2 linked regions of the Neurospora crassa OR74A genome follow. Each later gene encodes a partner of the first gene's protein in a complex. Links are inferred from orthologs where the notes say so. Each region holds a gene or a part of one and is shown in the gene's direction. Other genes may lie near its edges. The genes, in order: NCU00360 and NCU03957.

Region 1 (10,894 bases):
GAATGCGGACCTGGGAGGGGGAGGCAAGGTAAGCCTCACCAGTCGGGGAGAGCCCGGAGGTTTGTTCGACTTTAAATCCCGAGAGGGGTAACCCGTCGTGTGCTTTGTGAGGGACAGCCAGCCACACTTGTTTTTTTGGCTTTGGGCACTGATGAATCTTGTCCGTTATCCGTCGTTATCGGATCCATCGGCAGGACCCGTCACATTCGGGAAGCCTCGGTTTCTGGGGTATCTGTTTGGAGACGGGGACCGGGGCACCGGGCGGGGTCATGAAGATAATCCCGATGTTCTGGTGTCGATGGAATGCTGTTTCTTCCGGGGTGGGTACTCTGGAAAGGACGGTTCCCCAAACACCTACCTTGTGCTTATACGCAGTTACACGTATGTATGGTCAAGGGGGACATCACAGCAGCTTTGTATTGATACGACTGTCCAATGCTCAGTCATGCTGTGGTTCAAAAATAGATGCCTGGAACGTCTTCCCTTTCCATTCCGTACCTTGAACCCCCCCCAAAACCAGTTTGGAACCATGGGTCACCTTGTTGAGAAGACTTCATTACCATACAGGTCAAAGTGAAAGTTTAATGAAAGTTGACGCCTAGCACCACAATATCAGACGAACTCCATTCCTGCCCTGATGATCTTCGGTGGCAAGGAAAACTCAAGCTTCACTCGGCTCACCATTGCCAAGAAAGGCATCACTTCCCTTGCCAATTACTGTGCCCGTTTGTTTTGGTTACACGTTGCCGCTAGCCCCAAACAATTCCTACCTTAGCTGAAACCGCGCCTCCTTTCTACGTCACAATGTCAATCAGCAACTTCAACGGAAAACAACAAGCCCAACTGCAGTCACTTATTGTTCAACTTGCAGACGAACTGAATTATAGTAAATGTAATCATGTCACCAAAACCAGTAGCAGACCTAGCCAGCTTGAAAGGCACCAATTGCCAGTTCAAGTTCATCGGTGAAGGCGCCGCCAACATAGTCTTTGAGGTTGTCTTTCCTGAGGAAGACATCACCACTCAGGATGATGGCGATAGTCAGATCTTGGACATCCTACACGGTGACTATTACCTTTAGCCCTATTCACCACATGAGACGTCAATACTAAGATCATCACAGGGAAACTCTTACGAGTACCAAAGGCCAATACCAAAGCCTTTCCACACCCCGAAATCCTTCAGTACTGGGAGTCATCCATCAGTCCACTCTTCGATAACCCCCAGGAAGACCTAGTACAGCAGTACCTCATTCGTCTAAACAATTCCGTCGTCTCGCAACTCAATGCAATTCTTGAAAATGAAGACGCCCAGCGTAGGGCAGATTTCCAGGGTACCAAGGTGGCCGAGGCCGAGTATGGCATGTTGGTTGAGGATATGAGGAAGAGTTCGTCCCTCTTCACCCTTCTCCGCTTTCCCTCCAGTACTTTTGTCTCTAACTTAAATCCCCCCTCCACAGAATCCCCATTAGACTTCCTTCTAGAATTCAAACCCAAATGGCTCACCCCTTCCCCCTCCGCCCCCTCTACCGCCACGCGCTGCCGTAACTGTGCCCGCGAAGCCTACCGCCTACACAAATCGCTTCGCTCCGCTTCCTCCGACCAAAACTCCTCCTGTGCCCTTAGCCACGAGCCACCGTTCTGCCCCCTCGAGTACCTAGCCGCTCAATCCTCGCCCTGCTCTCTAGCCCGAGTCATCGCATCCATGAACCTTTCTGCCATCTCCGCTTCATTGGACACCAAGCCAGCGACGAGGGAGAATCCCGTTGGTGTGCAACCGGCTGTTTCTCTGGATGGCGAGGACGATGGCAGGCCAGGAATGGACCAAGTAGACGAGCGCTACCGCGTCGCGCTTGTTCACTGGCTGCAAAGCAATTCGTTGCTGCCCAAGCTGCGGGACGCGCAAGAGAGCTTGGACCCGGCGCCGGAGGGGACGAGTGACCAGGAGAAGCTGGCGTTGGCGATGACGTTGAGGGATTGTACCTGTTTTGTGAGAATATCGGAAGACTCGAAGGCAGGCTTGAAGGTGGAAGCCAAGCTGGCGGATTTGGATAAGAAGAATTGGGAGGCTAAGTTGGAGTATTGGAAGGGGATGGATGAGGTGTTGAAAGAGGGGGGGTATTATGAGGGGGTGGAGGTGCCGAGGATCCGGACGAGGTGTTTCATGGAGGTTGGGGCAGGGGAGGCGGCCTGAGAGTTTATGCCATTGATGTTGTCATGGGCTTTCAAGGGAGATGGATGGGCACTTGTAATGGTGATGGTTCGGTGCCGTGCTGGCCTTGAACAACCCTAAATGATGAACGATAAAGCGCCGTTTTTCCTTACCCAACACTAGCAATGCAATTTGTGACACCCTGGCTGTTTAGCACCCATGAACGCCACAACTCCCTTTACTCAACATAATCCGGATCAGATGCCACACGGGAACGCCGCCTCCGAGCTGCCTTCTGCGCTGAACGCTCCTCGACTTCCTTCTAGGGAGCCTTAGCGCTCTCCGCCCTCAGTGCCTCCAGCCGTTTCTGCTTCTTCTCCAACTCCTCCATCATCTGCTTCTTCATCTCATCCACCTTTAGCTTCGCCTCCTTGAGCTTCTGAATCTCCAACTGTTCCGTCTCCCGACTGAACGGCTGCCCGGGTCTATTAACCAGAGGGATCATCGCGCTCCTCTCCAGCACGCCTCCCTCGGACTTTTGTATCACGAACGGCTCCTCTTTTGACTCGTTATTGTTCTTCCCGTCCTTGTTCGTGCTCACACTAGCCCGCGAGTGACTCCTCTCGTGCCCTTTCTTATTTCCGCCCTTGCTGCTGCTCGCCCCGGGCGTGTTCGCACTGGTCGGCGTCGCGGCGCCACTACCGCCGCCGCCGCCGCCGTCTTTCAGTGTTGAAGCCGATGGCGGGAGGGCGCCGGAGATGAGGATATCGTAAAAGGGCTCGTAGGGTTCGTTGAAGATCTGTTCCTCGTATACCCAGGAAATGACCTCGCCGCCGTTGAGGCGCATAGCCTCCTTCTCTTCTTCGGTGCGGCCGAATGGGTGCAGGCGCAGATGGTGATAGAGCGTTTGAGGCTTCTCGGAGGATTCGGGGACGTAGTACAGCTTCATGGTGATTTCGAACTCACCCCAGCCGGTCTCGTGTATTTGGAAGGGTTGGCCTTTGACCCCTTCTACCACTGGACGGAGGGACACGGTTGATTAGCTTAGGTCGAAGGGGATGGAGGGAGGTTTGAGAACCGGAGGTAGGGACGTACTTCGAACATGGTTTGGAATGGACTCGTGAAGCTTAAACTGAACGCGCCGAAGCCAGTACGTAATGTCCACATCGTCGATGCCCTTGATGAAAACGGTCCAGGAGTGCGTGTGATCATCTGGAATGCCGGGTGGTTTGGGGTTGGTCTTTTCGTCGAAGGGCCGTGCTGTTGTTCCGTAAACGAAGGGTCGAAATATTTGAACGCCCTTGACACGCTTGCCTGTAGGTGGTGCCATCTTGTTTGGCGGTGATGGTTATGGATAGGTTGAAGCTGTTCGAAGTGTGGAGATTCGCGCTGTTTCGCGGTGGTTTCGACAGACGCGGTAGGCCAACTGGTAAAGCTATAGCTATAGCGATATAGCTGGGCAAACGCAAGTCGTTTATCAGACCTGAATACGACTAGATGACTGTGTACGGGAGGCGTGATTCTTGAAGAAGTGAAGATGGCGCAAAGAGAACAAAATGATGATTACAGGATTACAAAAGTGCCACCACCAGCAAGGTACCTGCATGAAGGATGGAGAAAAAAGTTGGGTGTGTTCCAGCCTTGAATGCGGGGCAGAGAAGCCCAACTGCTAAGGTTCCCTTTCCCTCCGGGGTTTAGCGGACCCTTGGCGCTGCTAATTTATCGAAAGACATCAGTGCCACCCTTGTAGATGATTGTTCGATAAGGATTTTTCGAGTCTGGATAACGGATCGAGGCTCTCCATGATGCAATCGTCTGGGGTTTCGATTGTTTACTTCTGCGGAGAGAAAATCGGAGAGGAAACCTGGAAGCATAACCTAGTTTGCCGAGAAAGAGTCTGATAAACATAAAAAGAACCTGACCAGCCAATGTGTTTGAGCTACCTATTCTTGAGATAATATCCTTCTTCCCAAGCTCTCACCCTCAAGCAAGCTTCCATCATGTCGTCCGCCGCAAAGAAGCTTATCGTCGCCGGAGGCAACGGTTTCCTCGGCTCCAGGATCTGTCAGGCGGCTGTCCACAGAGGATGGGATGTGACATCAATTAGGTATCATACTCCAACACTATCCTCCATAGCTTATCATTCCACCCTTTACAAATGGATGAACTGACCACCTCTTCTACGTCCAGTCGCTCCGGCCAACCGAACTGGTCTTCCGTATCCGCCTCCCCCTCCGCTCCCTCCTGGTCGACCGCCGTTTCCTGGGAGCGCGCTGACATCTTCCGCCCCGCCGAGTGGATTGCCCTCCTGAACGGTGCTGACTATGTCGTCCATTCTCTGGGCATCCTCCTCGAAGCCGACTACAAGGGCGTCATCTCCGGTCGGGAATCTCCTATTGCAGGCCTCCAGAAGGCCTTCTCGCCCCGTCACACCCCAAACCCGCTCCAGCGTCGTCCCGATGACGAGCTCCGTCCTCCGACCAACGCGAACCAGTTGACCTACGAGATGATGAACCGCGATAGCGCCATCCTGCTCGCCAAGGAGGCCGCTAACAAAGGCGTTAAGGGCTTTGGATACATCTCGGCTGCGGGAGGAGCGCCCGTGTTGCCGAGCAGGTATATCTCAACCAAGAGGGAGGCTGAGGACGTGATCGCGCGGGAGTTTCCCGACATGCGGAGTGTATTCTTCAGGCCGCCATTCATGTACGACAGCTCGCGGCCTGTGACGATGCCGCTGGCGGCGATGACCATGGCGGGAAGTATCTTCAACGGGGCCACAGGAGGAGTGCTATCAGACTTCTTGGGGAGTGCGGGGACGAAGCCTCTCAAGGCAGATCTGGTTGCGGAGGCGGTGGTGGAAGGATTGGACGATACAGCGGTTAAAGGGGCAGTTGAGGTCCCCGAGCTGGAGACTTTGGCGAACAAGGGTTGGAGGAGAACTATGCTTTGAGAGCAAAAAATCGGCTCAAATGGTCTGTATTTTACCTGAATCATAACCTTGGCAATGTATAAAACGATGATGCTTGACATATAAAAACCAATAATCAATCCTTCAACGCCGTTTCCTCTTCGCACGAAGCCCAGAGTTACCCTAAACCATGGTTCCTCTCTCAAAGCTGTCCCTAATCTCTGCCGTGTACTTGTTATAGAACCTCGACAGCTTCTGGTTGAACTGCTTGTTCTTCTCGTTGATGTACGTGACGTCCGCGTCGTCGCCGTTGTTCGCCATGCGCTCCCTCCTTTTCTTAAGGCTGGCCTCCTCGGCCTTGCGCATATCGGCCACCAGTCGATCAACGGCCGCCTTGTCGGGCTTGTGTTGTGCGAACTGCGTCGAGTCTGCCGTGCTAAAGAAGGTGCCGTCCTTGTCAATCGCAATCATCTCTCCATCCTCTGTCTCAACAATCTCCAATGTGCCAGCCGCCGCAGCCTTTTCGATCGCCGCCAACTTTTCGCGCGTGTACCTCTCCAGATCGGGGCCTCCCATGTTGCGCAGTTGCCGCTTGTAGGACTTTTCGGCTTGTTGGTTGTAGTCGCGGAAGGCAGTGTCATCGCGGTGCGCCTCCTTCTTTTTCATGCGCTTGTCCCACCGCTCTGATTCCTCGACCGTCCAGTCCCAAGCCCGCTTGCGCTCAAAGTCGCCCCCGGCATCTTCAATGTCGGCTTTCAGCAGCTTGTGGGAGGCAATCGCGTGGCGACGGCCGAGGGCAGTGAGTTGACTAGGGTCGCTCTGGAGGCGCTGGGATTCTTTGGTGGCTTTTTTGAGATTTTGCTGCGAGGATGACTTGGCGCGGGCTTGGAGGGCACGGAAACGCTCGGCACGCTCGCGAGCTTTGGCGGCCGCAGACTCTGCAGCAGAGGTGGATGTGGGTGGAGTTGACGAGGACTGAGATGTTGCTGCGGTGTCAGGTTGTGCGGTCTCCGAGGCTGATAGAACCGGTGGTGATGAAGATGACGTCGTTGCGAGCGCTGCTTCTGTGACCGATGGCTCCTCCTTGGAATCGGTCACGGTCTGATTATTTGGCTCTGTCGTGGACTCGGCGACGTCGTTTTCTTGTTGAGTGACTTCTGCCTTGTCTTCGGGCTCGGTCTTTCTTTTCTTTTCAGGAGGCATTTTCAATAGACTTCGTTTTGTTGAGATGTGTTGTGTGGGTAAGTAGTTGTGTGGTGTGAAATCCGGATTGTGTCAATGAAGCGGAAAGAAAACAGCCTCTCTGAAGCTGCTGTGCTGTGCCTGGGCTGGTCTGGACGCTAGGGCCAGTGCCTGGCAAGACGGAAAGTGGAATGCTGAGCAAGCCTTTCTACAGCGATTGTATACGATAGAGTGATGCATAAGTGGGCCGTGAGAGCCTGTCTTTTAGGTTTAGCGCCGATCATTACAGGACATTTACTACAGTCAAGTCTGTATATAACGATATGAGGTATAACGATATCGTGTAAATAACGATCAATTTCACTGCCACCGTTCCAGTTGTATAGTGATTTCAGCAGTATAACGATATACAGTCAAGTCTGTATATAACGATATGTGCTTACCCCTTGGATTTGATCGTTGTTCCTAGATCATTACAACCTTTAGTAGTACTAAGTATACTAAGACTGATTCGAATAGGTACTTGGGTACCAAAAAGCAATAGTTAAAGTATAGCCAAAGGATGAGTTGGAAATATTTCCTATATCTACCACCTAATAGGTATAACGATCACTATACAAATTGAGCCTGAATATTAATTGTAATCGCAATACGGAATATATTGTTATACTGCTGAAATCACCATACAACTGGAACGGTGGCAGTGAAATTGATCGTTATTTACATGATATTGTTATACCTTATATCGTTATGTACAGACTTGATTGTATTCCGTATTGCAATTACGATTAATATTCAGGCTCAGTTTGTATGGTGATTGTTATACCTATTAGGTGGTAGATATGGAAATATTCCCAACTCATCCTTTGGCTGTACCTTAACCACTGCTTTTTGGTACCCAAGTACCTGTTCGAGTCAGTCTTGGCGTGCTTGGCACTACTGAAGGTTGCGATAATCTGGGAATAACGATCAAATCCAAGGGGTAAGCACATATCGTTATGTACAGACTTGACTGTAGCGGCTTTCTAGCGCTCCTTCCCCAGATTTTGCAGACAGCGCCAAGAGGGGGGAGTTGAACGTCTCGGCCCGCCTCGTACCTTCTCCGTGCCGTCTTCGACCAGATTGAACTTGCACTCTTGACCATAAAGTACCTTTGTACCTGTTACACAGAACACGGCATCGCAACCAATATGAAAGGAATATTAGGCAGACCGGTCGAGGAGATGAGGAGAAAATGGAAGGCACCGCGGGCGGGTGCAACCGGTCAAGAGGGAAGGAGGGTTTACTTGACTGATTGATGGTTCACCGAGTGCTCTCCTTCTCTCCGTCACCCTCTTGCCCTATGCCCTATGCCGCCAGCTTCGCACATCCAATACTCACCTTGTGTTTCTTCACAGTTCAAGTTGGTGACACAAAGTCCAGCCTCGTTTCCTCCCAATCACAGCAGTTCCCAGCCGCCAGTAACGCCTACAGTCGTCGCGTATCTTGTCGGGTAAGGCTGGATCGCCAACTCTCACGCGCAAGTGGACGACAAGCATGATACCTTATCGGAGGTGGTGCTGGCCTGCATTATCTTGGCTTCAGCTAGTCACAATATCCTCACCAAGATGGCACCTTCGGGCATTTCAGCCAGTCCAGGTTTCGGCCGCCTACTCCATAATGCCCAAAAGGAAGAAGAAAGAGAAAACCACAGGGAGCTGGGTTGACGTTGATGACACCTTTTTCACCTCGAATTCTCAAAAATCCGGGGACATCCAGGGAGTCGAAGCTGGACTGGATGAGCCTCAAGTGGAAAGCCCAAGAGTCCGCAGAAAGGAGATGCGGGAGCTTAGGAACCGGTACTTTTGGAAGCACTGGGTGCAAAAGCACCCAAACTACGTCTGGAATAGGGCTGGTCGCAGAGATCAACAAAGGTCCACGATCAACAAAGATGGACTTCATACAAAGACCAATGATGAGAGTGTTGTCAACTATCCCGAAACTGAAGCTGAAAGAAGACAGGAGAGAGTCAACCTCTGGAATACGTGGGTTATGAACCACCCGACTTTCAAGCACAGCAAATTCGGCCAATTAAGAAGCTCGGGGAAAATCAAGGGCTATGGTCAAGCCAGCCTCATGAGAGATCGAGCTAACAGGGTCGGTCGTTACTTCAGAACCCTAAGAGTCGGTCAAGAAAACAACACTTTTCTTCGTTTTCAAAAGATTCCAGTGAAAGATCGCTTGATGAAGAGACTCGTTCGGAAGATCGACTTCAGCTCCGCCAAGTTCGGCCAAGCCTATTTCAGGCGCTTGAGAGTAGGCCAGATTCACAATGACTTCCTCAAGTTCCACAAGGTCGACCTGAGAAGGCCTCAGCCAGGGCGAATCTACCTCAGAAGCCTTCGACTTGGCAGTGATTCCAAGTTCGACAGGTTCAGGAAGATTCTCTTCGACGCAGATGGCGACCTCAAGGCACGCAGGAAGAAGGAAAGGAGAAGCAGTAAAGACCTAACGGAAGACCATTGGAAGAAAATGACGAAGAAGACACCCGAGAATATTGCTGCCGAAGAAAAGGAAGAAAAACTGGCAAGAGGAATCCCCGACCATTGGACGATTGGGCAATGGGAATACATCACCAAGTTTCCCAACCACAGGACTGCAGAGGAATGGAAGAGGATGAGGAACTTCTCAAGTAATCTCGGCCACAAGCGAGCTATTGCGAAAGCGGTCGAACTAGAAACCTATCAAATATCCGACCTGGTGCTGGAGCTGGACGCCCACGACAATCCCTTTGTTCGTCCGTTCAACGCAGACGATGCAGCTGAACAGACCAAGCAGTGGCCGCACCTCGACCCAGATCAGCAAGAGCTTGTCAGACGCGCGATCTCTGTCGCCGAAACTGTTGCTGAATCCAAAACAAAATGGAAGTCACCATTGTTACCATTCGATCACCGTCGGATAACAGAACGTGATGTCCTGTCAGTGGCATTACTCGGCCTTGTCTCCGAGTCCACGGGGTTACAAAACCACCCAACATCGGAATCAGGCACTCACGAACCAAGTTTTGGATTCCTCACCATGTCCGACCTCCTCGAAATAGGTGTACCTGTTTCATACTCAACAAACCCTCAGCGTCTCACCCACCTCCTACTCCACCGCATCGAAAAAGCCCAATTCCCCGCCCACCAAGAAGTCAACTTCCCCCCATCCTCGCTCTTAGAAGCCCTAATTCAGTCCTCATCCTTCCACCAGCTCCGCCGCATCATCGCTCCCCTGCTTCACACAGAAGAAGGCTGTTTGCTCATCTCCCAGTGCCAGGATACCATCCTAGCAGCATGCAGCAGCAGAAACGGTTACAGTGTTGATGACGAGTACTACGTCTCCACGGTCTTTGTCTTTCTCAGAACCATCGCCAGCCGTTTGGCAATGATGGATCTTAGATTTGAGATACCCGCGGACCTTTGGCCTACTAATTATGCTGATCTGTTCTTTCTGGAGTGTCCAGGACTAGTAGTAGCGGGAGCGGATGAGCAGGATGGTGGAAGCGCTGGACAACTTGAAAAAGACGAAGAAGAAGCACAAGAAGAAGGACAAGAACCCCTAGAGAAGGACGCGGATTAGGCATCCGTTCAGGGTATTGAGCTTTCTTTGAGGTCGGGAGAAAGGTCGCCCAGTTGAAGGAAGTATTGGGGCCAACCTTGCATTTTGGTCGGGGCAAGGCTGGATGAATTAGATGTTTGTGTTATCATAGTCAGTTTTTGTGTGTCAGGGTAACCTTTCTTGCAGTAACGCTAGCCAAAGCGTACTCCCCCGTTCCATAATCATCCAGTTAACTGATTATTATTGCTAAATAACTTTTCCAAGAACCGCAAACGATGTTCAAGTTGCACAACCCTCGTTAAGCATCGCCCGGGATTGGCTCCCACGTAGAAACTACCTTACTTGACATCTTCAGCGTTGACTCACTCACCACTCCCACTTTCCTCAGCCCTGTAGATTTAAAGACATGATGGAGGCCTAGGGTACGGGTGGTTGCAAGCCGTCGGGTTTCCCAGTATACACATGAAAGCTGAGACTTTAGCCTGGGGAGAAGCATATCATTGGATCCAGTCCGCGCGCGTGGGAACACAACATAATCCCATCGGGGAAGAAAAGCCAAGCATTTCTTTTCTCTCCTTCCTTTCCTTGGACCACATCCACCACAAGACTCGACATGGCAGAAGGAACAATCTCACCCATGATACCTTTGGTTACTAGTCTGCAGAGTGTGACCTCGTAAACTCGGGTACGAACCGAAAGAAACTTACACGTGTTGTGATTAGGTTGTTGTCGCGCAGTTAGGTTGCCAATCGTTCCGTCTTCAGCCCAATACCGGAGGGAATACGGAGTCCGTATGTACCCCTGCGCCTCTTCTCGTCTTACACACCACTACTACAGTCTCAGTGTCTCGCAAAAGCCAATTATGGTAGCAGTAACCGCTCGGTCGGTATCGGGTCGCAGGTTTTGTACGACTGCTGGGCTGAACCTTTTAGTTAACGTTTTGCTTTCCGACTGGGTTTCCTTCTTGTTCTCTAGACCATCGGGGACGCCTCCAGGTGGCTATGAGTCTAGGCTGGTTCTCTGGACAGGTTTGTGTTAAAGAGAGACGAGTAGACGAGTGATGGCCAGCTCACC
Region 2 (10,189 bases), on another chromosome or scaffold:
GGGCAAGGGTACGCTGGACAGCCCGCATGAGTCTCATGAGCTTCGCACCCGGCCTCATGATGCTGCGTCTCTTTCTGAAAGCATCGGCAATGAGCACATGCCGCCAATGCCACCGTTCAACAGACGGACTACGGAGCAGCTTGGTCTTCCCAGAGCCAATCAGTTGCCTGTCCTGCCTGTTGTTGACGATACTGATATTGGTGGACCGCCTGTTCAGATTACAGCAAACGGGACACTGTCTCACAGCCAGATCGCCATGAACATTGAGCTGGCCAACATTGACAAAGACTGCATGCGTGATCCTCTTAATCCAAGTTTCTATGAGGATGTTTGGTCTCGTGTTGCTGAGAACAACACCAAGATCTACCGCCGCGTCTTCCATGTCATGCCCGATTCTGCAGTAACGAACTGGGCCGAGTACAAGGAGTTCAAGGCTAACGAGCGGGAGTTCAAGAAGCAGTTTGAAGGTGGCAAGGCAAGCGAGGAAGTCAATGAGAAGAACGGAGTGACCGCTGAGCATGCGCAAACCAGTGCTGGAGCCGGTATCAGCGCACCGGGCCCAGCTCAACTCACCAAGAGCTTGACGGAGAAGCTAGTCACTCCTGTCTCCAAGCTCAGCGGCGGTGGTGACAAGGGAGCTCGGGAACGCACAGGCTCAACTACTACGTTGGACGAGAAGGGGGCCACGAAGGACCACACACGCAAGGCTCAGACCTTCCCACTCGATGCTGAGAAGGGTGCGATGTTGACGGCGTCGCAGAACCCCGGCGAACGCCCACCCACAGCAACACCCAAAGACAGCGCTGATTCGAACCACGATGATACCAGGGCGTCTGGAGACTTCCTGAGCGCCAGCATCACCAACAACAAGGAGCGACACGCCACCTTCTCCAACAACCAAGATCCTAACCCTCCCCCAACCTCAGCCAGCGGCGGCTCCACCACCACCATAGCCGACAACAGCAACGCAGCCCCCAACATTGCCAACGGCAACGGCGCCGCAGTATCCTCCGACAACACAGCAACCGCATCCGCCACGGGCACTAATGGTGCTAATGTCAAACCAGCCGCATCCACCAGGCAGCAGCGTCGTAGGGCGAACACTGGCCGTAGTAAGCGCGGGTATAATCCATTCGACGCTCAGACTCTAAACCCGGCAGAGGCCGAGGAGACGCTCAGGTTGACCCAGGGAACGCTGGTCCAGTTTCCTTATGACTGGCTGGTCACGGAGGAGAACAACGGGAATTGGTTGTTCCAGGTTGATCAAGTGGCACCGTTGCAGATTTAGTAAGTTTTCTTTTCTTTTCTTTTCTTTTCCTTCCGAAAACGACTTGTATAAGTGCAAGTTAGGATGGGTGCTAACCACAGTGTTTCTCTAGTAACTAAATATGCTTGTCTGCTGCGTTGTTCCACGGTTGTGGGCTTCACATACCTGCGTCATCCTGTTCTACCCCCTTCGCACACCTTTTCCCTACGGCCATATTTCACCCTTGCTTTGCCTATCTTCGCAAACAACATGGAATCGGAGCGGCGGAAGATAAAGACTCATCATATGTAGTAACATTTAAGTATTCATGGCAAGGCGTTGTTGGGTTGGCGGGTTACATACATATTAGCATTCGGTGGCAACCTCTTGCTTTTCTCGAGTCATTCTTCCTCGTCAGCCATTTATTACTATCATCATTATCAAAGCTTTCAGGACAAGCAAACGCCGGCAGTATGTAGAGGTATGTCCTTTAATCATAGCATGCAGAATACTTGGTACCTAGGCAGTTTATTCTTTTCGATTTTACCTTCTTTGTTATATATACCTAGTTAGTTATTTGTCTGATAGGACACGGACTTTTTCTTGGCTATACTTTTCTTATCTCTTTGAATCCACAACTGGTATATGCAAGCATGCACGCAGGTATTCTCACAGCTTTTATTCATCATTTTGCCGTACCAAATATACCTTTAGACTTAGGTTTACTTCGACGCTTCGTTCCCAGCCTGACCAGCCAATCTTTTGCTCATAACCGCCAAGCAAATGAAAGCCGAGCCAAGACGACCCAAAAAGCTTATGGAGCTATCTATTGACTTAGAGCCCCTAAGTAACTATCCCAGATCTTCCCATCAAAGCTCAATATCAATGCCCAGATCCATGGCGCCAATGATCTCATCGTCCATCAGCGGCGCCGAAATAACCGGCAAGCCGTTCTTCTTCTGTTGCAACCTGTGCTGCTCCTGCAACTTTGCAATATGCGGCAATACTCCGTTGCTGTTCTTGGACTCGCTCTTTGACGGCGTGTCCGGCGCAGGGGTTCCTGCCTTGGACGGACTCGGCGTGGCCTTCTCGGACGAGTCGTGCACGAACTTGGGCCTGGTAATGAGCCTGCGGCTCATGTCCTCCTGGACGGCCTCGCCACGCTCAATCTTCCTCTCGATTTGACGAGCCTTGGCACGCTCGCGAAGCTGAGCCTTGCGGACCTCTTCGGCATTGCGCCGGCGGTTCTCCATGTTTTTGAGCGCCAGCTTCTCCTGCTGGGTCAGCTCCTTCTTGCCGTCTTTCTTGGTGAGGGAGGTACGGAAGGCAAGGCGGGGCACCTCGAGTTTCTCGAGACGCTCCTGGTAGCGGGCGATGGCGGCCTCGTCGTTGGCCTGGCGAGCGATGTCGAGCTGCTTCTTGAGGTATTCGCGTTGGGCACCAGAGAATTTGGCCTGCAGGGCGTTCTGACGCTTGAGCTTGTCCGAGAGCTCCTGCTCGGTCCACGTACGCTGGACGAGGCGGTTGATGTCATCGATCTTGTCGACAAGGGTCTGTTTGTCTGGGAAGGGGACACCCTCGGCAAGACAGACTTGTTTGTAACGGTTGTACTCGGCCTGTTGAGGGTCTGATTAGAGATGATGACAAGCGAGGAAAGAACAGGCACGCATACCTCTGTAAACTTTCGGTCGGAACATGTGATCAAAGGCCACTCCCTGACGGCTTTACCGTGGGCAGCCTTGACATACATATCGACGACCATTTGGTGACCCTGATGATCTTCCAAGGCATATGCCTTACCGGTAGTGAAACCTGCATTCCGAGCGTTAAACGACATCTCAGCTTAACAAGGGTCTAACGGGAATGATCTTACCCTTAATGAGAGCCATACGGTAGACATCCTGGCGAGTGTCGGGATCGGGACCAATATTCAGGCGAACAAAGCATCCTGTGAGTGCTTCATCAAAGCCGGGGTAGAAAGCAACCTCGGCAAAGCGACTGCGGCCAACACGAACACGCTCAAAGTCCCGAAGCTCAGCAGGCGGGCTTTCTCTGCTCTCTGGCGAACGAGATCTGTGCTTCTTGTTGCTCGGGCCATCCCAGTCCACGTCGCTATCATCACCACGACCGGGGCTGCGTCGGTACGAAGGCGAACGCTTACGACGGTCATTTTCCCGCTCTCGCTGCTCCTTGCGGTTGGAGCGTTCCTCCCGGGCCCGCCGGAGAGAATCCATCTTGTCGTCGGCCTTGGTGCGAGCCCGTGATGTCTTGCGTGACGAATCATCGAGCTCGGCTAGGCTTGCCTTGCGCTTCTTCTCTTGGTTGACCTTCAGCTGGCGAAGCATGCGGTTCTGGCGGATACGTTCATTCTCCTCTCGACGCTCGGCCAGAATCTGTTCCCTCTCGATTTCACGCATGCCCATGATCTGCTCCTTCTCTTCGTAGTCGCGGAAGAGACCGTCGACAGGGTACTGGTTCACCTCATCGTCAACACTACGCCTCGCCGGCGAGGCATCTGAGTCTGAGTCTGATTCGTCCATGGGGGCAGAAGCTTGGGAGTCCGGGGATCCCGGCGGAGAGCTGCCGAAGAGAAGTTGTTTAGCCTTGACCATCATCTTGAGCAGCATGGTGGGCGGGGTGATTGAGAGGAATCAAGAAGGGAAGGAGGCAAGAGGAGGAGCAGAAGGGGTTGATAAAGGCGAGCTGTAGGCTGAGGTCGATGTGGCGCATGGGTGACATGTAGAACGGCAGCCCTAGGGCTACCTGAGAGCTGGGTGAAGGAAAAGAAAGACAAGCACTCACGCCTGGCCCTCGTCCTCCGACTCGTCATCGCTTCTGGCACGTTTCCTTCCCACTGACTTCTTGGCCGTTCCCCTGGTAGACGTATCCTTCTTCCTCGGTTCTGGTGACGGGGAGCGGGAATCGTCCCTGCTCATGTCCATAGCCTCATCTCCGCTGTCATCGGAGGCGTCACCGCCTGCAAGGGCGAGCAACTCGTCGTCGATGTCTGACATGGTCGCTTGTCTGTCACGGGCTGTCGGTTCTTATAAAGCTGCTTCTGTGTGGCTGTAAGCGCTAGGGCTATGCAATGGCTGCTGCGCAAAGCAGGGTTCGATGGAAAACCGTCGGGTGCAGATGGCGAACGCGATGTCGGGATACGTCGAGTGAAGGGCCGAACTGATTCTTCCAAACACTTGTTGGTGGATATGATCGGAACCAACAATGTTCTCCCAATTGTGGGTTAACAATGCGCCAAAATCAAAAAGTCGTTATGCAATCGGGTGGTGTTGAGGCGGCGACGGGAGCGATGAATGAGTGAGGCGACAAGAAAGTCCAAAGCGGGATGAGAGAAAGGTTAGTATAAGTAGAAGGGAGGTGAACTCCTATTGTCCAGCAGTTATCAATAGGAATTCAATGGGGTCTGGTCTAGGCTGATGGTAAGGTAAGTACCTACTTTATGGAACTTGGGCGGCGCGACCTGGAACTCCACCCGCTTGTGCGCGACCTGACGGACAACTTCAACGTCCAGGGGCAGTGCTTGGCGTGACGGGAGTTGGTGAGTGGTGGTGGTGGTCAAGGCGCCCAAAAGTTCCACACCGCCCAAAGGTTAGATCAGGCCCGTTGCCGGCCCGGCAAAAGCCCAATTGAATTGAGTCCCGTCGTCCTTTTGACCCTTGGCTTGACCAACGTCATCGCATGTGCAGGCAGCCCTGTGGAGCACTCAGCGATGGAGCTTCCCGTTCGAGGTCGCCGTGATTTTGTAAGTGGGCCGACTTTCGAGGTCCCGTCTTTCACTCGGCCTCGGCGCATCTCCCCCGAGCTTACTGTACTCCGTCGCAACAACCGCCTCCGGTCCGTGCAACATCAGCTTTCACCAACTCGTCCCAAGTCTTCCTCCAACACGCAAGACCGAAAAGACCGTCACAGCCCATATCATGCTTCGTCCAGCAACCAGGCCAGCCCTCGTGGCCACCAGACAGGTCCGGCAATGCGCCGCGCGCTTCTTCTCCTCCCCCGTCTCGCCTGATACCAGCTCCTCGCATGTCCACAGCCCCTCCACAACCCCCGAGACCAACCCAGCACCACCACCACCAAACTCCAGGTCGTCGACAAGTTCTTCCAAGGGTAAAAAACCCCTCACTGCCGAGCAGCGCGCCTTCCTCTCGTCCGCCCTCCGCGTAAACCAGGCCGGCGAGCTCGCCGCCACCCTCATCTACACGGGCCAGACCCCGCCTCTCGTAACCCGGGACCCCTCGCTGCGCCCGCTCATGAAGCACATGTACGACCAAGAGGCGGCGCATCTGCGCACCTTCAACGACCTGATCTACCGCCACCGCGTACGGCCCACGGCGCTGTACCCGCTTTGGTCCGTCATGGCCACGGGCTTGGGCTGGGGCACCGCCATGCTGGGCAAGGAGGCAGCCATGGCGTGCACCGAGGCGGTAGAGACGGAGATTGGCGGCCATTATAATGCCCAGATCCGTAAGCTGCTGGAGATGGTGAGCGAGTGGGAGGCTGAGGGGTATGAGGTTGGCGCAGAGTTCAGGCATCTGATCAACACGTTGAGGAGGATACGGGATGAGGAGCTGGAGCACCTGGATCATGCGGTTGAACATGATGCGCAGAAGGCGGAGCCGCACTGGTTGTTGACGGGGGTGATTAGGGCGGGGTGCAGAGGTGCCATTTGGGTTAGTGAGAGGGTGTAAGAGGGGGGTTTTCTTTGGGGTCGGTACGTGAAGGGAAAAAAGTTAATTTTGAAGGAGGATTGTGTCGATGAAGATGAGAACGAATTCATGAGGGGACAGGAGCATTAGCATTATGCTCTGCAAAGCACGGATTACAAACCTGTCCGTTTGTACTATTAGCTTATTGGGAGGGTAGGCGACGAAGCGAAAGCACCGATGTGCTGTTTCGACCAGTTCACTCAGTTCTTGAAGCACCTCGACAACAGCACTCATTCACAAATGGCCGCTTTCTCAAGGCATCACTGCTAAGAGCAGAGGTGGCTCATTTTGCTTTAGTGTGGAGTCCATATGAAAATCAGCGCGTGGCGTGGGTAGCTTAGGTCACTAGGAGAGAAGAGGGTTCACTTCGAATTGGTATCTAGGTCACTCTTGTTCTTTGCGCGTCTTTCACAAAGATAAGCATGAGTTGGCAACACTGATGGCTCGACTCATGGGCTACATCACAAGCTCAATATTGCTGAGGCTTTGGTTTCATATCCGGGTACGCTTGTGGCTGCTGCTCGAGTCGGCGGTGAGTGTCACTTTTTTTTTTTTTTTTTTTTTTTTTTTTTTTTTTTTTTTTTTTTTTTGGATGAATTCCCCACATCGACAACGTCAGTGCTTCAGTCATTCTAGGATCATCTCAAGACGCAACGTCAACATGCTGGATTAGTTGGAATGGCCTAATATTTTTGAGGAGGTACGGAGACCGCGATCGAGGAGCTGGATTCTCGTGAGCCTGATTGTCCCAAGCTGGAGGAAAGAAGAGTAAAATAGCATGCTAACCTCATTGGCAAAGCGTCGATGACTTCTGGGGAAAAGACAGCGCAACAAAAGACAACCCGCCAGGGCTGCAATCATCAAGCCATCCTCAAATCACTGAAAGGTTGAAAGAGGGATACCAAGGAGAGCGAAGATAACACCCCATCTCACGGAGGAAGCCATTCGAACAAGGCATATGAGAGTCAAGCTATCCGCATGACACCTCGTAACGAATAATGTGTGCCACACTCACCAGCATCAATCACTATTACTACTCGGGGGGCATCACATTTGATGCGGGACAGAACAGAAGCATAACATCACCTTATATACCTTCGCACTATCGAATGGCCCGTCCGTTTGTCTGGTAAGGATAGGTAGGTAGCGCAATAGAAGAGACATGAAAAAGAAAGTGAAAGTGACCATCACGGTCACAGTGACCAAGCCCACATGGTATTTATCAACCAACTTCATTTACACACACACACACACACACACACACAAAAGCACAAAGGAGACAGGATCATCATATCATGTTCACTTGTCGTTGGGAAAAAAAGAAAAAAATTGAAAAAAAAAATTGAAAAAAAAACCCCCATCCCATGTTCACCATATCACACTCACACCCCTGGACACTCCGGACGTCGTTGGATAGTGGACACTAGGTACGAGTAGTACAGCGGCAACCAAGCCGAAGCCCTTGTCCGATTGGTTAACGATGGCCGTCTGCAAGCGCCGGGAGTTGTGAGTCTTTAAGGGTTTCTGGCCAATCAGGACCTGGATTGGCTAGCGTACCTGGATTGTTTCAGGGCCGCCAGGGGGAAAGGATCACAGTGATGGGTTGGGAGTGGACGGCGCTAGTGCGGAGGCGGAATTGTTTGGGCGGACAGGGGCCATGGAGTTTTATGTGCTGGTACTATCTGGGCCTGACCTCTTTTCTGTGTTTTCTCTTCGTCAATGGACGTTGTTGTTGAATGAAATTGCCTATACACGTGAGACAGTGGAAGCAATGGCGGCGGTAAGGCGCAACGAGAACGGATACCTAAGTGAGGTCAAGTAATATCAAGACAGGCCGCTGGTCGCTGGATGATCACCTAGGTATGTAGTCGGGAAGGCGAGAAACCGTTCTTTGATGTAGTAATGGAAAGACAAAGTGCCGAATGCAACGGTCGGCGACTCGTTGATGGTGATATTTGAGTGAGACAGCATGACCATTGACCAGGTTCAACCAGGCACGCCCAGGCACAGTAAACGCAGGCGAACCTCGGCGTCACATAACGACAGACCCGGATAAATCGACTGTGTGCCCAGATATTTCGGCGGTGTGGGGCCATACAAACTGAGCACCAAGCCAAGCCAAGAAGCCAAGACCCTTGAACTTGGCAATTGGCATTAACTTTGCGCGTAGTCACCTACCCTTCCTCGCCTTCTATTAACGACAACTTAGAGCAACTAATTGGTATTGACTTTGGAGCTCCCGTTGTATTACTCTTTGGCTCTAGGAGTAGTACTTTCCAACGGGCTGTCTCCGACCTTGGCCTCGCGTTTGTCTCTATGCATCCTTAGCTTCAAATGCCTCATTTCCACCACCATCTCTTAGTCCTTCGAATTCTATCTCCCTCATCTTGAGAAGCAACTCAAGGCAAGCATCGCATTGTAAGAATGACCATAGCGAACGCTGGTGTAGTGTAGAGGTAGTTGAGCCGCTGGGATTCCATGACACCTCATTGGCTAGTTAGGTTCCACACCGCCGAAATATCTGGGCACACAGTCGATTTATCCGGGTCTATAACGACAGGTGAAGATTTCGTCCGCATTGAAAGATTGGGCATCGTCAGATCACAGTACCTTGCCTAGCGGGGAGAAGGGAGCGGGGGCATTGGGTCCTTTTAAGCATACACTAAGGTAGCTCCTCTAGGAGGCAACCACTCAAGGAAGCGGGAAGAAGAAGAGGGCCTAAGTCTACTCCATTAAGTACTGCTCACTGTCGAATCACGGTATCAACCATTAACATCGCACATATACCTCTTTTGGAAGTAGGAGTAGCCGCCGCGAGCCCACGAAGCAACACCGGCGTTTATACAAATTACATACCCACCTACCTACCAACCCCTACAACCACCTCTATTGCCTCCCAAACGCCCGCCTTTTTTTTTTTTTCCCTTTCTGGTCCTCCTCCTCTTTGATTGCGTTTCATATTTTTTATTCACTTTCCTCTTCCCACTGTCATATCATTCATCACCCGACTTTGACAGTCGCGCGTCGCATTCCTATCGGTCTCGACTTTTCATTGCTTGCCGTGCAACGCAACTGAGAATAAAGAAAAATAAAGTGGTCTCACCTCAGTTCATATCGACCTTTTCGACATCAGACCGACATCTCATAATCACGTCACTACGAGGCCGGGCCTGGTTTGGAACAAGAGACAGCAGTGGCAGTTATATAAAGGGAGGGGAACCCCCAGCAACTGCAGTCATGTCGTCAGACGCCAACTACGAGCCGGATGCGAACCCAGGAAGCGTCGGTGCTGGTCCAGACATGGGAGACAGTGGAAGTATCGCCGGTGCGGCCGGGACGTCATCAAACGACGTCGGGCTATCTCAAGGTGGTCTGATCGCCATCATTGTGGTTGTTTGTGTCGTCACCATCTTCGGTGGTAAGTCTTTCTCGCCCATCAGCAATACTGCACTGACCGGACATGATATTGACCCTCCCTCCAACAGTCGGTAGCGCAGTTCTCTTCTTCCTGGCAAAGAAAAATGAGTGGAAGGTCAGGGAGACCATTCGAAAGTCGGCAAAGAGGGTCGTCACGGCTTTGACCCCACGACGCAGCGAGTTCCCCAGATCGGTCAAGGGATCTTTCCGATCAACCAGATCCCAACATAAAGGCCGTGTAAGGATCGATGATGTGCCACCCACCCCGCGCATCAAACCCGAGCATCTGGATTTGGAAAAGGGCATGGGGAAGCCGGAGAAGTCAGGAAAGACACGCATCAACTTCAGTCGGAAGTGAGCCGGTGTGGCGCAAGAGAAAATCAGACAGCACGAGTTGAGATATAATGAACCATTTGATGACGAAAATGGCAAGCTTGGGGTATATTTTGGGTATCGCTGGTCGCGCGAGCCTATTGCTTTGCGACTCGTATTCGGAAAGAAATGTGTGCCGTGGACGGCAATGATGTTCTTGGCCGGTTCACCACGGCCTGGAGGAGTTGACATGAAAGATACCATGACTTTTTCACATGTATAGTATATAGGGTTGGACCAATAAGCTTCTGGCGTTTTACAGTCGTCTAAAGGTGTTCGTGCTTGCACTTCGCCTCCCATCATGTCTCTTCCGTGTTGGTGCAGCCTCGGGTTCAGCCTGCTTCTTCTTCTTGGACTCGGGCACGAACGTAATCTTCTGCTCTCCGACCACGTCCGTTCGGGTCTTAGTGACGCGCCCGGTCCTTGGAGC

What was found.
Region 2: NCU00360 (region 1) and NCU03957 share a complex: the UniProt entries of both Saccharomyces cerevisiae proteins name them as parts of the multi-subunit COQ enzyme complex. The link is inferred for Neurospora crassa OR74A from reciprocal best matches to the Saccharomyces cerevisiae genes COQ11 and CAT5.

Annotation. Positions count from the first base shown.
Region 1 is NC_026503.1:3,571,616-3,582,509, forward strand, and holds NCU00360 (NAD dependent epimerase/dehydratase), read left to right. Parts: upstream 1-3,935; 5' UTR 3,936-4,151; coding exon 4,152-4,258; intron 4,259-4,341; coding exon 4,342-5,101; 3' UTR 5,102-5,242; coding exon of another isoform or gene 5,243-6,262; 3' UTR 6,263-6,305; downstream 6,306-10,894. Other genes in the region: NCU00358 (hypothetical protein), read left to right, coding at 899-1,064, 1,124-1,387, 1,460-2,193; NCU00359 (YEATS family protein), read right to left, coding at 2,474-3,168, 3,247-3,481; NCU00361 (pre-mRNA-splicing factor syf-2), read right to left, coding at 5,243-6,262; NCU00362 (hypothetical protein), read left to right, coding at 7,778-9,841. UniProt on the Saccharomyces cerevisiae protein: Component of MIOREX complexes, large expressome-like assemblies of ribosomes with factors involved in all the steps of post-transcriptional gene expression. Component of a multi-subunit COQ enzyme complex required for coenzyme Q biosynthesis.
Region 2 is NC_026506.1:2,236,632-2,246,820, forward strand, and holds NCU03957 (COQ7), read left to right. Parts: upstream 1-4,907; 5' UTR 4,908-5,181; coding exon 5,182-5,952; 3' UTR 5,953-6,460; downstream 6,461-10,189. Other genes in the region: NCU03955 (phospholipase D1), read left to right, coding at 1-1,287, 1,380-1,386; NCU03956 (hypothetical protein), read right to left, coding at 2,116-2,862, 2,919-3,058, 3,120-3,826, 4,049-4,260; NCU03960 (hypothetical protein), read left to right, coding at 9,208-9,388, 9,456-9,745; NCU03961 (WD repeat protein), read right to left, coding at 10,016-10,189. UniProt on the Saccharomyces cerevisiae protein: Catalyzes the hydroxylation of 2-hexaprenyl-3-methyl-6-methoxy-1,4-benzoquinol (DMQH2) during ubiquinone biosynthesis.